Callithrix jacchus: one gene and its partners. The protein of the gene in region 3 purifies or fractionates together with the protein of the main gene of each other region. This does not show direct contact. Links are inferred from orthologs where the notes say so. Each region holds a gene or a part of one and is shown on either strand. Other genes may lie near its edges.

Region 1 (3,651 bases), on a different chromosome or scaffold from region 3:
ATTTTGTAGTAACTTCCAGTGGAATGCTTTATACCAGGAATGTCCAAGGGAGAGAAAACAGTCATGGGTTCTTAGTTTCTGTTTCTGGTTTGGCCAGTAAAGCTCCTTCATCATCCCTCCTTTCTGCTTGTCACTAGAGAGAGAAAATCCATGGCTTTCAAGCTGCTAAAAACCTAAAACAAAGCAAAACAGCAACAACAAAATAAGGCGGGTTGGACAAGCTTGCTTTTATACCATCTAAGAGCTTGGTAAATTGGACTTTAATAGCTCTAGCTTTTTTGAAATAGTAATAAGATAAAGCAGACAGCTTTATAAGATTTACTAAGGCTGCTTTGAAGTATTAAATGTGATACCGTTCTTATATTTATTATAGGCTTTCTGTTGGATAAAAAAATTGGAGTAAATCAACCAAAACGAATTGAAAATGCTAAAATTCTTATTGCAAATACTGGTATGGATACAGACAAAATAAAGGTATGTAACTCTACTTCTTAAAAATTCAGATTGCTGGCTTCTGTAAACTGAAGAATCAGTCACACTAAAAAGCTTGAAATATGTATGAATCTGTTGTATATATATACATATATTAGTTTTTGATATGTATGTTAGTAAAAATGTTGAAATATGCTATGGGACTCTTTTTAAAAAAGAGTAATGAAACTGATGCTCTTTTTATGCTTTTCCTTATCTTAGATATTTGGTTCCCGGGTTAGAGTTGATTCTACAGCAAAGGTTGCAGAAATAGAACATGCGGAAAAGGAAAAAATGAAGGAGAAAGTTGAACGTATTCTTAAGCATGGAATAAATTGCTTCATTAACAGGTCTGTTTGCTTGCAGGAAAGGATTTTTTTTTTTTTTTAATGAAAATGTAAGGAATAGTTTACTTACACTGAGTTAGTGATTTGTTACTTAGGAACTGCTATACATAACGTCACTTAAATTATGGATTTTCATAATCAGTAAATTGTGATTTATGCACACTGTGGCCAGAATTATGGGATCAATATATACAGTTACTTTAATAAAGAACACCTGTTTTCAGTGCTAGCATAGATGTGCTAGTATTATAATTGATAAATTCCAATTATACAGGTAAGAAAAGCAACCTTGTTCTAATGTAAAAATGTTTACATGTTTTTTAGTCTAATGTAGTTTATCTTGTAACAGTTTTGAGCATAATGTTTTTATGTATTTTATTTACAGGCAGTTAATTTATAATTATCCTGAACAGCTCTTCGGTGCTGCTGGTGTCATGGCTATTGAGCATGCAGATTTTGCAGGTGTGGAACGCCTAGCTCTTGTCACAGGTATGGAAGAAAGGTATTGTTTTCTAACGAACACAGTAGTCACTCTTGGATTTATTATTTGTTACTATATACAATTTGCTGAGAAAACAAATGAGTCTCTTTAAGGAGTTAGAATTTCAACAGTTATTCTGAAATCTAATTCATACTCTTCAATACCTTTAATTTAGATACATTATATTTACTATACCAAATTATATGCCACATTTGCCATTGGTACAGATTTTTTTCATTGTGTCATTGTTTTAAAGGTAGATTTTTGGCTGGGTACAGTGGCTTATGCCTGTAATCCCAGCACTTCGGGAGGCTAAGGCAGGCAGATGACTTGAGCTCAGGAGTTTGAAACCAACCTGTGCAACATGGTGAAACCTGTCCCTACCAAAAAAAAAAAATTAGCCAGATGTGGTGGTGAGCACTGTGAGCGTAGCTGCTTGGGAGGCTAAAACATGAGAATTGCTTGAGCCCTGGGAGGTGAGGTTGCAGTGAGCTGAGATTGTGCCACTGTGCTCCAGCCTTGGCAATGAGACCGTGTCTCAAAAAAAAAATTTTTTTTTTCTCTCACAAACCTGTAAGACCACTGTTAAAATCTGAACAAACTAGAGCTTTAAAAAGAAGTCTTAAGTTTCTTTACCTTTATCTAGTTTGTTCATTTATTTTTATTGCCAAGTAGTTGAGTGCTTTGTGTCCTGTGTAGTAGTAGTACAGTTAAAATAATAACCTTTATTGAACACACTGTATGCTGGAGAGTGGGTCAAGTACTGAAACATTGCTTTTGTTAATTTTTAAAAATTTCTGAAAGCAATAAATGTTAGAATAAGTGAAAACAGTCAACATTGTATAATGAAAATTAGTATATCTCTATACCCTTTAATAGAAGCGTGAGTGATACAATCCAGTTGTGTCAAATAGAAATTGTGTTTATAAATCAGATATATCTGTTTACATCAAAATGACATAATGGTGCAGGCTGATTGCAGTGGCTCATGCTTGTAATCCCAGTGCTTTGGGAGGCCAAGGCAGGAAGATCACTTGAAGCCAGGAATTTAAGACTAGCCTGGGTAACATAGTAAGACTACCTCTACGAAATATTAGCCAGGCATAGTGGCATATGCCTGTAGTCCTAGCTACTTGGGAGGTTGAGGCAGGAGGATCTCTTTAGCCCAGGAGTTCAAGGCTGCAGTGAGCTACGATCCCATCACTACACTCCATCCTAAGTGACAGAGCAAGACCCTGTCTCTTAAAAAAACAAAAGTGTAACTTGTTGCTCTTTATTCTGGTAATGGTTTAAAAAAATTTGTTTTATTAAATTTTTATAGATTGAGCGGGTATAAGTATAGTTTTGTTAATTCTAAGTAGCCCTAGAAAACTAAGTTTAACAAATGTTTCCAGATTTTAGGTCCTTGAAAATGAATGAATAGCTTGGAAAGTTGGTTTGAGAATGGGAATTAAGGAGACCTGGAGGCCTGTGTTAGGAGCTGTGAAGTCAGTAAAACTGTCATACTGTCTGGAATGACCATAAGTGTTAGAAGAAATTAAAGTGTACTAACATTTGAAGAGTGGACTTGGTCTCATCTCAGATGATCTCTTAAGACATTTTTTTAAATAATTTGAAAAGCATAATCTTCTGACCAAGAGGCATTTTCCTTTAATTACTTGAAGTGGATTTGCCTCCTTTAAAGTTCTTTAGGAGCTGTTGCATACTTGATGCTTTAAGGTGACACATAAAATTTAAGATGCTCATGTTTATGTGATTTTTTAGTGCCACAAAATGAAGATTTAAGAAATTCAAGTTGTATGATGACATTGGTTCTTGCAAGTGTCATTAAGTAAGTGTCTTGTGTTGGGCATGGTGGCATGTGCCTGTAGTCTCATCTGTTCAGGAAGCTGAGGCAGAAAGATTGCTTGAGCTTGGGGCTGTAGTGTGCTATGATGGTGTCTAGTGAATAGTCATTGCACTTCAGTCTAGGCAACATAGCAAGACACTGTCTCTTTAAAAAGAAAGAAAAAAAGTCCTAAGATCAGAGTCTTTATGAATTTATTGTAAAATAAATAATAGAGCATTGGCAGATTTATCAGTAAGGAATAGGAAAAGAAGAGTTGATTGATAATATATGGAATCCACATTATGAAATGAGTAGTCAGCTAGAGAAAAGGATTTTGACATGGAAACCTAACTTTTGCTTAGGAAGTAGGGAATGAAATGGCTGACCTCTTCAGTTTACAGCATGGAAGATGGAGGGAAAATAGGAAGAGAAGTGAGACATAAGGACTATAATTAATTTATTCTTACTGAATTTGCTCTGGGAAATTCTTAGTATGCTTTTTTTTTTTTAAAGGCCTTATGTTT
Region 2 (3,651 bases), on a different chromosome or scaffold from region 3:
CAATTTCACTTATATAAAAGTAAATTTATGAAGAAATTCACTGCTTGAGGGAATGATTCATGTAGTTGATGCTGCCCTGTTTGATTGTGTGTCTGTTTTTAAAACTTTTTATAAATTTATAATTTTGAAGTTTCCATCACCGGAATGGGACACGGTGACTCCTGAAGCCAAAGACCTCATCAATAAAATGCTTACTATCAACCCTGCCAAACGTATCACAGCCTCAGAGGCACTCAAACACCCATGGATCTGTGTAAGTAAAATTTCCCAAAACTTCAAGAGCTAAAATGAAAAATAAGCTCTCCTTTAATATATTGTTTATGGATTTAAAATAATTTTGCAAAAAAAAAGAGGAAACTCAGAAAGAATGAATTTTTGACTCAAGGTGTTTAAGCAAATGAATTGTATGATGGCAAAAATGCAGTTTTCAATAGCAAATTTTGAATAGCCTAGATTGCTAAATAAACATTGCTTGCAGTAGCAAAGGAATGAGTATACTCCATATCAATTATTGACAATACTCATGAATGAGGCTAAGAAAATAACACCAAAATTAAATGTGTCCCAGAAGAAAAGATTTAACAAAGTTCAATTATTTGTCATTAGGCAACTTTAGAAACAAGTATGAAGTTTGGTGGCTGAGAGTAGTTTTAGTGGCATAAAAGAATGGTCATAATAGTCTGAATGTATTTTTAAAATATTAAGAAAAATAGTGTGAAATTTGAGGGGGATCTGGAAACTTCAGTAAATTTCCTAATGTGTCAGTTGCTAAGGGAACAAATATGGCACTAAGTAAATGAAAGGTAGTCCAGTCAAAATGTGATGAATACACTGAAATAAAGACAATTTGAGAAATTATTAATATTGATTTCTGTATTTTCTGTACATCAATGTTGCATCTCAGTCACAAGTAATCTTGGCAAAACTGAAATTTTATTTTTAGGTAAGTTTGGCCATTGAATACTTAGAAGTTGATCATGCAGGGTGCAGCACCATTAATAAAGATTTGATGAAGTCAGGGATATTATATTTAGCATGTTTTACATATTCTCAATTAAGTCACTTTTTTTCCTCCTCTTCTAGCAACGTTCTACTGTTGCTTCCATGATGCACAGACAGGAAACTGTAGACTGCTTGAAGAAATTTAATGCTAGAAGAAAACTAAAGGTAAGAAATTTTACATTTTTATGGGGAAGTAGATTTGGCAGACTGAGAAGTGAAATACTATATGAGGAAAATAACTTCTAGCAAAGACTTTCAGTTATGTAGACCTCAATACTCTCATTATTCTTTTTTTGGGTCTTGGGAAAATGGAATATATACCAGAATCAAAACTATGATGAAAAGCTCAAATCATTCTGGCAACACATGCTGTGGGTCCTTTCTTCAATGGAAAACAGCTGTGCAATTTGATAATGAGAATCTGGCCCGCACATGAGGGCGGTCCCAGCATCATGAAAGACAAAGGCCTTTGACTCTCAGGAAACCAAAAAACAAAAACAAACAATCAAAAATCCCCTAACTGAAAGTAGGGCCAGTAAAAGCTTTGTTATCAAAGACGGTATATTTGTTAGGTCCAGGGTTTGCATAGGCAACATTGACTTCTGTGTTCTAATTTTTTTGACAGGGTGCCATCTTAACAACTATGCTGGCTACAAGGAATTTCTCAGGTACATGCATTGATTACTCTACTTCTTATCCTTTGGTGTTCTTTTTAAGTAGTCTCTGTTTTTTTGTCTATGGAATTTAAAAAATCTAATAATTAGAAAAACCTCATTGTTCAGGGGTGGCAAATGTGTGGCACAGATTCCTTCTACACCTGTGGCTGCCATTAGCAGTCTGCCTGGGAGCTGTCTGCCACAGAGCCTCTGTGACTGCACCCCTCACAAGAGTGCTTCTGGCAGCTCTGGCCACCAGTCAGTGCTGGTGCAGAACTAGCCTCATCTGTCAAATGCTGGGGTGTGTACAAGTTGTGGAAATGAATACTCCCTCATTTGCAATCTCAGCATTTCACACCTAGAATTTACTATTGATATTTCATAAAGTAATAACTATGAATAAGTTATTTTTGGTCTCATTTTCATAGGGAATTCCAGTATGCAAGATTTTTAAAAGAAGACCATTATTGAGGAACCAGTTCTCTTAGACCTAAGTTCATTCAAAAGTATAGTAGTTCCTTGGCATGCTATAAGAATGATTACAACTGTCAAAGGTATCTAACCCAAGAATTTACAGAGCATCTTACATACAGTATTATCAGTGCATAATAAATTCTTCCTCAAAATGATTCCATGGTTAAAATAAGTTTGTTAAATAATAAGCTAAAAGAAAGCAAACCAAGGCTGGGCATGGTGGCTCACACTTGTAATCCCCGCACTTTGGGAGGCCGAGGCAGGCGGATCACCTGAGGTCAGGAGTTCAAGACCAGCCTGACCAACATGGAGAAGCCCTGTCTCTACTAAAAATACAAAATTAGCCAGGCATGGTGGCACATGCCTGTACTTTCAGCTACCCAGGAGGCTGAGGCAGGAGAATCGCTTGAACCTGGGAGGCAGAGGTTGAGGTGAGCTGAGATTGCACCATTACACTCCAGCCTGGGCAACAAGAGTGAAACTCCATCTCAACAAAAAAAAAAAAAGAAAGAAAGAAACCAAACCATTTCTTTATTGTAAGAGTCACTCTCTAAAAATTGAGATAAAGTATATATTACTCAAAGAAATTACTTGAGTTTTGCAACCTTCTTCTTTGATAGATTATCTCAAAGGACCATGTTCCCAAAAGTCAAATCTCGTTCAATGCTAAGCAGTCTTATGTGGGGGGAAGGACTGGAGCAGCATTTAAGCTGCACTTGGTAACCTTTGGCCCTTTAGACTTGGAACACTTGTTAAGCGTTAGTGCCAAAAATACTACCACTTTAGTTTGTGTATTGTTTACATAACAGTGATCTGCAGCACCAAATTATCCAGCTGTTTTTTCAATTCTTTATTTTCTGCTACATACTTAGCCTGGGTGTTATAGTGTTACCTGATAATAATCCATCATATCATTGCTAAGTGTTCTTCAACCAACTTCTGCTTATTATTTACAACTGTACTAGGCGGTCATTTTCCTCCCCCACCTTTGCATTTAGTTACAATTAGTGGGAAACCATAAGAGGCCTTTCAAAGGCTGTTAAACAACCACAGTAGTACAATGAATAATGCTACAAATTAAGGGACTGTGTTGGTCCGTTGTATGTATTTTGTCCAATTTGTTTAGTGTAATAAAACCTTGTTGCTGCCTTTGTCAAGTTACCTGTTTCATAAACAGTTGATTAGTATGGTTGACAGTTATATGGGTGAGTTCAATGCCATCTCATTAAATATTAATTCATATATACTATATTCAAATAAATTTCACTGTGCTCCAATAATTAGTGAATCATTAAAAGGTAGGATGATTTATGTAGTATAAATTGTTAATGTCAACCTAACCCAAACTTTTAAAAATCTTCAGATTTAAAATTGTACATTTTGTCAAAGTGTTAAATACAATCTTGGACATAAATTGGGCCTTGATTAATGTATGTACCCATATATAGAAGCTTTCTGTTTACCTCACAGTTTCCTTTTCATCATCCTGTAAACTAAAAATTCATGACTAATATGTGAT
Region 3 (4,251 bases):
AGTTTCACCATTTTGGGCAGGCTGGTCTTGAACTCCTGAACTCAGGTGGATCCATCTGCCTTCTTTAATTTTTAATTTTTTTTTTTTTTTTGGAACAACTCTAATAACTGACCTATTCCTTTACATCAAACTAAAATCTGCTTTATATTTACCTTGTATTCTCAGAATCTTACAGTCTAAAAGGCAAAAGGGATAATCTAATCCAGTGGTTCTCAAAGTGCAGTTCTGGACTAACAACATCAGTGTCTCTAGGAAACTGTTAAATATGCAAATTGGGCTGGATGTGGTGGCTCAAGCCTATAATCCTAGCACTTTGGGAGGCTGAGGTAGGAGGACTGGTTGAGCTCAGGAGCTCAAGACCAGCCTGGGCAACACACACCCCTACCCCTACAACATCCCAATGTCTCTATTAAAGTAAAAAAAAAAAAAGGAAAAAAAAAAAAAAGATATGTAAATTGTATGCTCCAACTTCAAAACTTCTGAATCAAAAACTCTGAGGGTGGGGCCCTGCAATCCAGTCTTAAACTCTGCAGGTAATTTTGATATAGCCTAAAGTTTGAGAACCACAGATTTTATCCAGTCCCCTCACTAAGGTGATTTGTTTAAAGGAACAGGTTTCTTAGAAATGGCTGTGCTAGACTCTCAACCCCAAGTCCAATTCATTTAACACTTACCCCATGCTGTTTCACTATGAGTCCTGGTTCTTAACTCTGGGATGAGAGCACATAAACCAAATTTCTATTTCATAACAATGCCCTTCAATTATAGTATCTCCCTTTACCTACTATCATTTTCTGTTCCCTGAGTTCCAGCAACATTGTGTTATGTACTATGTTTGGTTTTATCTTGTCCTGTGTAAAGTTTGTCACTTTGAATGGAGCACAGCCCTCCTGGTAGGCAGAAGCCAAAAGAATTACAAACCAAATTACTTAAATTGATTGAAATTATATAGAACTAATGTGTTTCTCATGTATCTTCTCTACTCTGTCATTTGTCCCCTTTTGCATTTAAAGGAAATATATTCAACAAATCAATATAATTAATTAATGTTTCCCTACCCTGATATCAAGGGTCAGTCAATACCTTATGTCCCACAAACTGACGACTTCTGATATATTGTACATAAACATGTAATGGTGAGCAAGGCACCATAAAGTATGAGTAAGCCCAAAAATAAATGCAGTAAGTTTAGAGGGAGTAAAAGGGAAACAGAGTAAAGATTAAGTCAATCCTCTCATTGACACACAGCAAGAGCAAAATTAATCCAAGTAAGTTACTTGTTAAACCTTAAAAATAATAGAAATTTATTGTTACACATTAATGATGAAATAATTTGTTTGTATTAGAGAGATCCTTGATAAACTTCGCTTTATCAGAACATCAAATTTCCAAACTTTAAGAGAAACTAGAACAAGCTACTAATTAAGTTCTTACCAGGCCTGGTGTGATATCTTCAGCACTGTCTCCATCCTGACTACTTTCCGTATCAACACCGAGATTCATCGCATCTGTCCTTCTCTTGTGTTGTAACTTGTTACTTTCAGTATGAACAGCTGAGGATGGATTTTGCAGTGTGGATTCTGCCTTGGAAGATGTGGTTTTCATCTTTGGAGGTATAATCCTTCTGCAAGTTTTCTTTATTTTAGTCTTCTTACACGCCACTTCATTGTTAGAATTCTTTTCTAATAGGGATTTGGGGCACATAAGCTGGTCTAGCTGATAATTACTGAGTGAAAAGGGGGTAAGATAGACTGTAGCTGTTTTTATTGAAACTGTAGTCTGCACTGGTTTCAGAGACACATAAGCGATGTTTTGATTTTCTTTATATCCATTTACCTATTCAGATCAATAAAAGAAAAGAGAATATAAGAATTCCAAGTTCTGTGCCTTTCCTTACAGGATCCCTAACAGATCTAATAATTCCCATTTCACGATGACAATATAAATCCAAATTGAGGCCAGGTGAGGTGGGTCACACCTGTAATCCCAGCACTTTGGGAGGCCAAGGAAGGTGGATCACCTGAGGTCAGGAGCTCAAGACCAGCCTGGCCAACAGGATGAAACCCCGCTTCTACTAAAAATAGAAAAATTAGCTGAGTGTGGTGGTGCATGCCTGTAATCCCAGCTACTCGGCAGGCTGAGTCAGGAGGATCGCTTGAACCCCAGGAGGCGAAGGTTGCAGTGGGCCGAGATTGCGCCACTCCACACCAGCCTAGGCAACAGAGCAAAACTGTCTCAAATAAATAAATAAATCCAAATTGATAGCCTGTAAGAAAACTTTTTCTCCCTTCCAAAATCTAGATATGTAATTCATTAACCTTAACCTCAATAGAATTCATTTACTTGGCATATTTCTTGCCCATAAGAGTTTGCCAGACCAATAATAATAATGACTAGCATTTATGACAGAGGCAATTACCGCAACTGCCAGCTGCGGATGGAATGATTTAGAGTGTGAAGCTGACCATAAGTGTGACAAAAGCAAACGCAGAAGGCTGAAGAAAGCGAATCCCAGATCTGACCCTCCCGCTATTTCTAGGATTATTGATTAAACTTTTCGACGACGCTGAAGGCCTCAGGGCAGGGATCCCCGCCTACCCCCAATGCCAGGTGCTCTCGACCTCCCAGGCCTGTATCCCGCAGAACCCCACAGAAACCGAGGCAGAAGCACACCCGGAAGCACCAACCCGTTTCTCACCTTCATCTGGGGTCGCTGTCTGGAGTTCGCCTTCTCAGCCGCCGCGTCCGACCCGGACATCTTTCGGCTGCTTAGCGGCCGGCGCCTTCCCGCCAAGATTGCGGCAGGAGGCCGGGAGGGGTGGAGCGAGGCCGCGAGTAGTAGGGCAGGACGGGGCGGGGCCGGGACGCGGCGGAACCCACTAGCACCACCGCGGTCGCAGCGCAGTAGCAGGAAGACCCGGTTGCGCGCGCCTCTTAAGAAAGCCATCTTAAAGCCCTAGACTGAAAATTCCTTAGGGATGTACTTGGTCTGAATTGACATTTTTACCTTTGACTGGTGATTCTGATTCTGGTGGTACTAGGATGCCGCTCTGCAAAACACTGGCAGGCCGGGCGCAATGGCTCACGCCTGTAATCCCAACATTTTGAGAGGCCGAGAGGAGCGGATCGCTTGAGCCCAGGACTTCGAAACCAGCCTAGGCAACATAGTGAGACCCTATGTCTACAAAAAATACAAAAATTAGTCCTGCGTGGTGCTGTGCGTCTGTAGTCCCAGATACTCGGAAGGCAGGGGTGGGAAAATGGTTTGAACCTAGAAGGATGTAGCCAGTGAGGCATCATGCTGCGGCACTCCAGCCTGGGCGACAGCAAAACCCTGTCTCTTTTATAAATAAATATAAAATAAGATTTTGGCTATTCTTCTGTTTAAGGTTCCTTCTAGCCCAAAACTGTTTCCTTAGTTGCTTAACTGGGTCCCACACTGTTACCTGACTGAGACTGGTCCACCCAAGGCCCAACTGTATAGAATACAGTTGAAGTAATTTGGGTAAATCATATTAACAGCAACTTCAAGGCCCTCCACGACTCAAAAATTACTGATAAAACCAAACTTTTCATGGTGTCCTGTATAATGCACAGTTTCTGGACTGCAAGACTGTTTCTGCTGTCCCTTGTGTCCCCCACAATGATAAAGTCCTTCCTACTGTGAAATATGCCCTTTCCCTTTTTTTCTTTTTTTTCTTTTTTTACACAACCCAGCTGGTAAATTGGGGCTGCTTCTGTTATTATTCTACAAGTCCTTAAAGAGTTCTTAAATAGGCCGGCCGCGGTGGTTCACATCTGTAATCCCAGCACTTTGGGAGGCCGAGGCGGGCGGATCATCAGAGGTCAGGAGTTCAAAACCAGCCTGAGCAACATGGTGAAACTTCGCCTCTACTAAAAACACAAAAATTACCAGGTTGTGGGAGGCCGGAGTGGGTGGATCCCTTGACCCCAGCCAACTCGGTAAAACCGCCTCTACTAAAAATACAAAAATCAGCAGGGCGTGGTGGCGGGTGCTTGTAATCCCAGCTACTCAGAAGGCTGAGACACAAGAATTACTTGAACCCGAGAGGTGGAGACTGCAGTAAGCCGAGATCGCGCCACTGCACTCCAGCCTGGGTGACAGAACAAGACCCTGTCTCGGTGGGGCGCGGTGGCTCACGTCTATAATCCCAGCACTTTAGGAGGCCGAGGTGGGTGGATCACGAGGTCAAGCGATCGAGACCATCCTGGTCAACAAGGTGAAACCCT

Evidence for each region.
Region 1: the proteins of WDR76 (region 3) and CCT2 purify together in Homo sapiens (affinity purification with mass spectrometry; 4 studies listed by BioGRID and IntAct, with this or other methods). This does not show direct contact. The link is inferred for Callithrix jacchus from reciprocal best matches to the Homo sapiens genes WDR76 and CCT2.
Region 2: the proteins of WDR76 (region 3) and CAMK2D purify together in Homo sapiens (affinity purification with mass spectrometry; 3 studies listed by BioGRID and IntAct, counting the BioPlex papers as one, with this or other methods). This does not show direct contact. The link is inferred for Callithrix jacchus from reciprocal best matches to the Homo sapiens genes WDR76 and CAMK2D.

What each region holds. Positions count from the first base shown.
Region 1 is NC_133510.1:72,142,396-72,146,046, forward strand, and holds part of CCT2 (T-complex protein 1 subunit beta), read left to right. Parts: intron 1-373; coding exon 374-474; intron 475-693; coding exon 694-821; intron 822-1,203; coding exon 1,204-1,307; intron 1,308-3,651. UniProt on the Homo sapiens protein: Component of the chaperonin-containing T-complex (TRiC), a molecular chaperone complex that assists the folding of actin, tubulin and other proteins upon ATP hydrolysis.
Region 2 is NC_133504.1:83,672,713-83,676,363, forward strand, and holds part of CAMK2D (calcium/calmodulin-dependent protein kinase type II subunit delta), read left to right. Parts: intron 1-130; coding exon 131-253; intron 254-1,083; coding exon 1,084-1,167; intron 1,168-1,627; coding exon 1,628-1,670; intron 1,671-3,651. UniProt on the Homo sapiens protein: Calcium/calmodulin-dependent protein kinase involved in the regulation of Ca(2+) homeostatis and excitation-contraction coupling (ECC) in heart by targeting ion channels, transporters and accessory proteins involved in Ca(2+) influx into the myocyte, Ca(2+) release from the sarcoplasmic reticulum (SR), SR Ca(2+) uptake and Na(+) and K(+) channel transport.
Region 3 is NC_133509.1:31,488,107-31,492,357, reverse strand, and holds the start of WDR76 (WD repeat-containing protein 76), read right to left. Parts: upstream 2,812-4,251; 5' UTR 2,759-2,811; coding exon 2,699-2,758; intron 1,837-2,698; coding exon 1,435-1,836; intron 1-1,434. UniProt on the Homo sapiens protein: Specifically binds 5-hydroxymethylcytosine (5hmC), suggesting that it acts as a specific reader of 5hmC.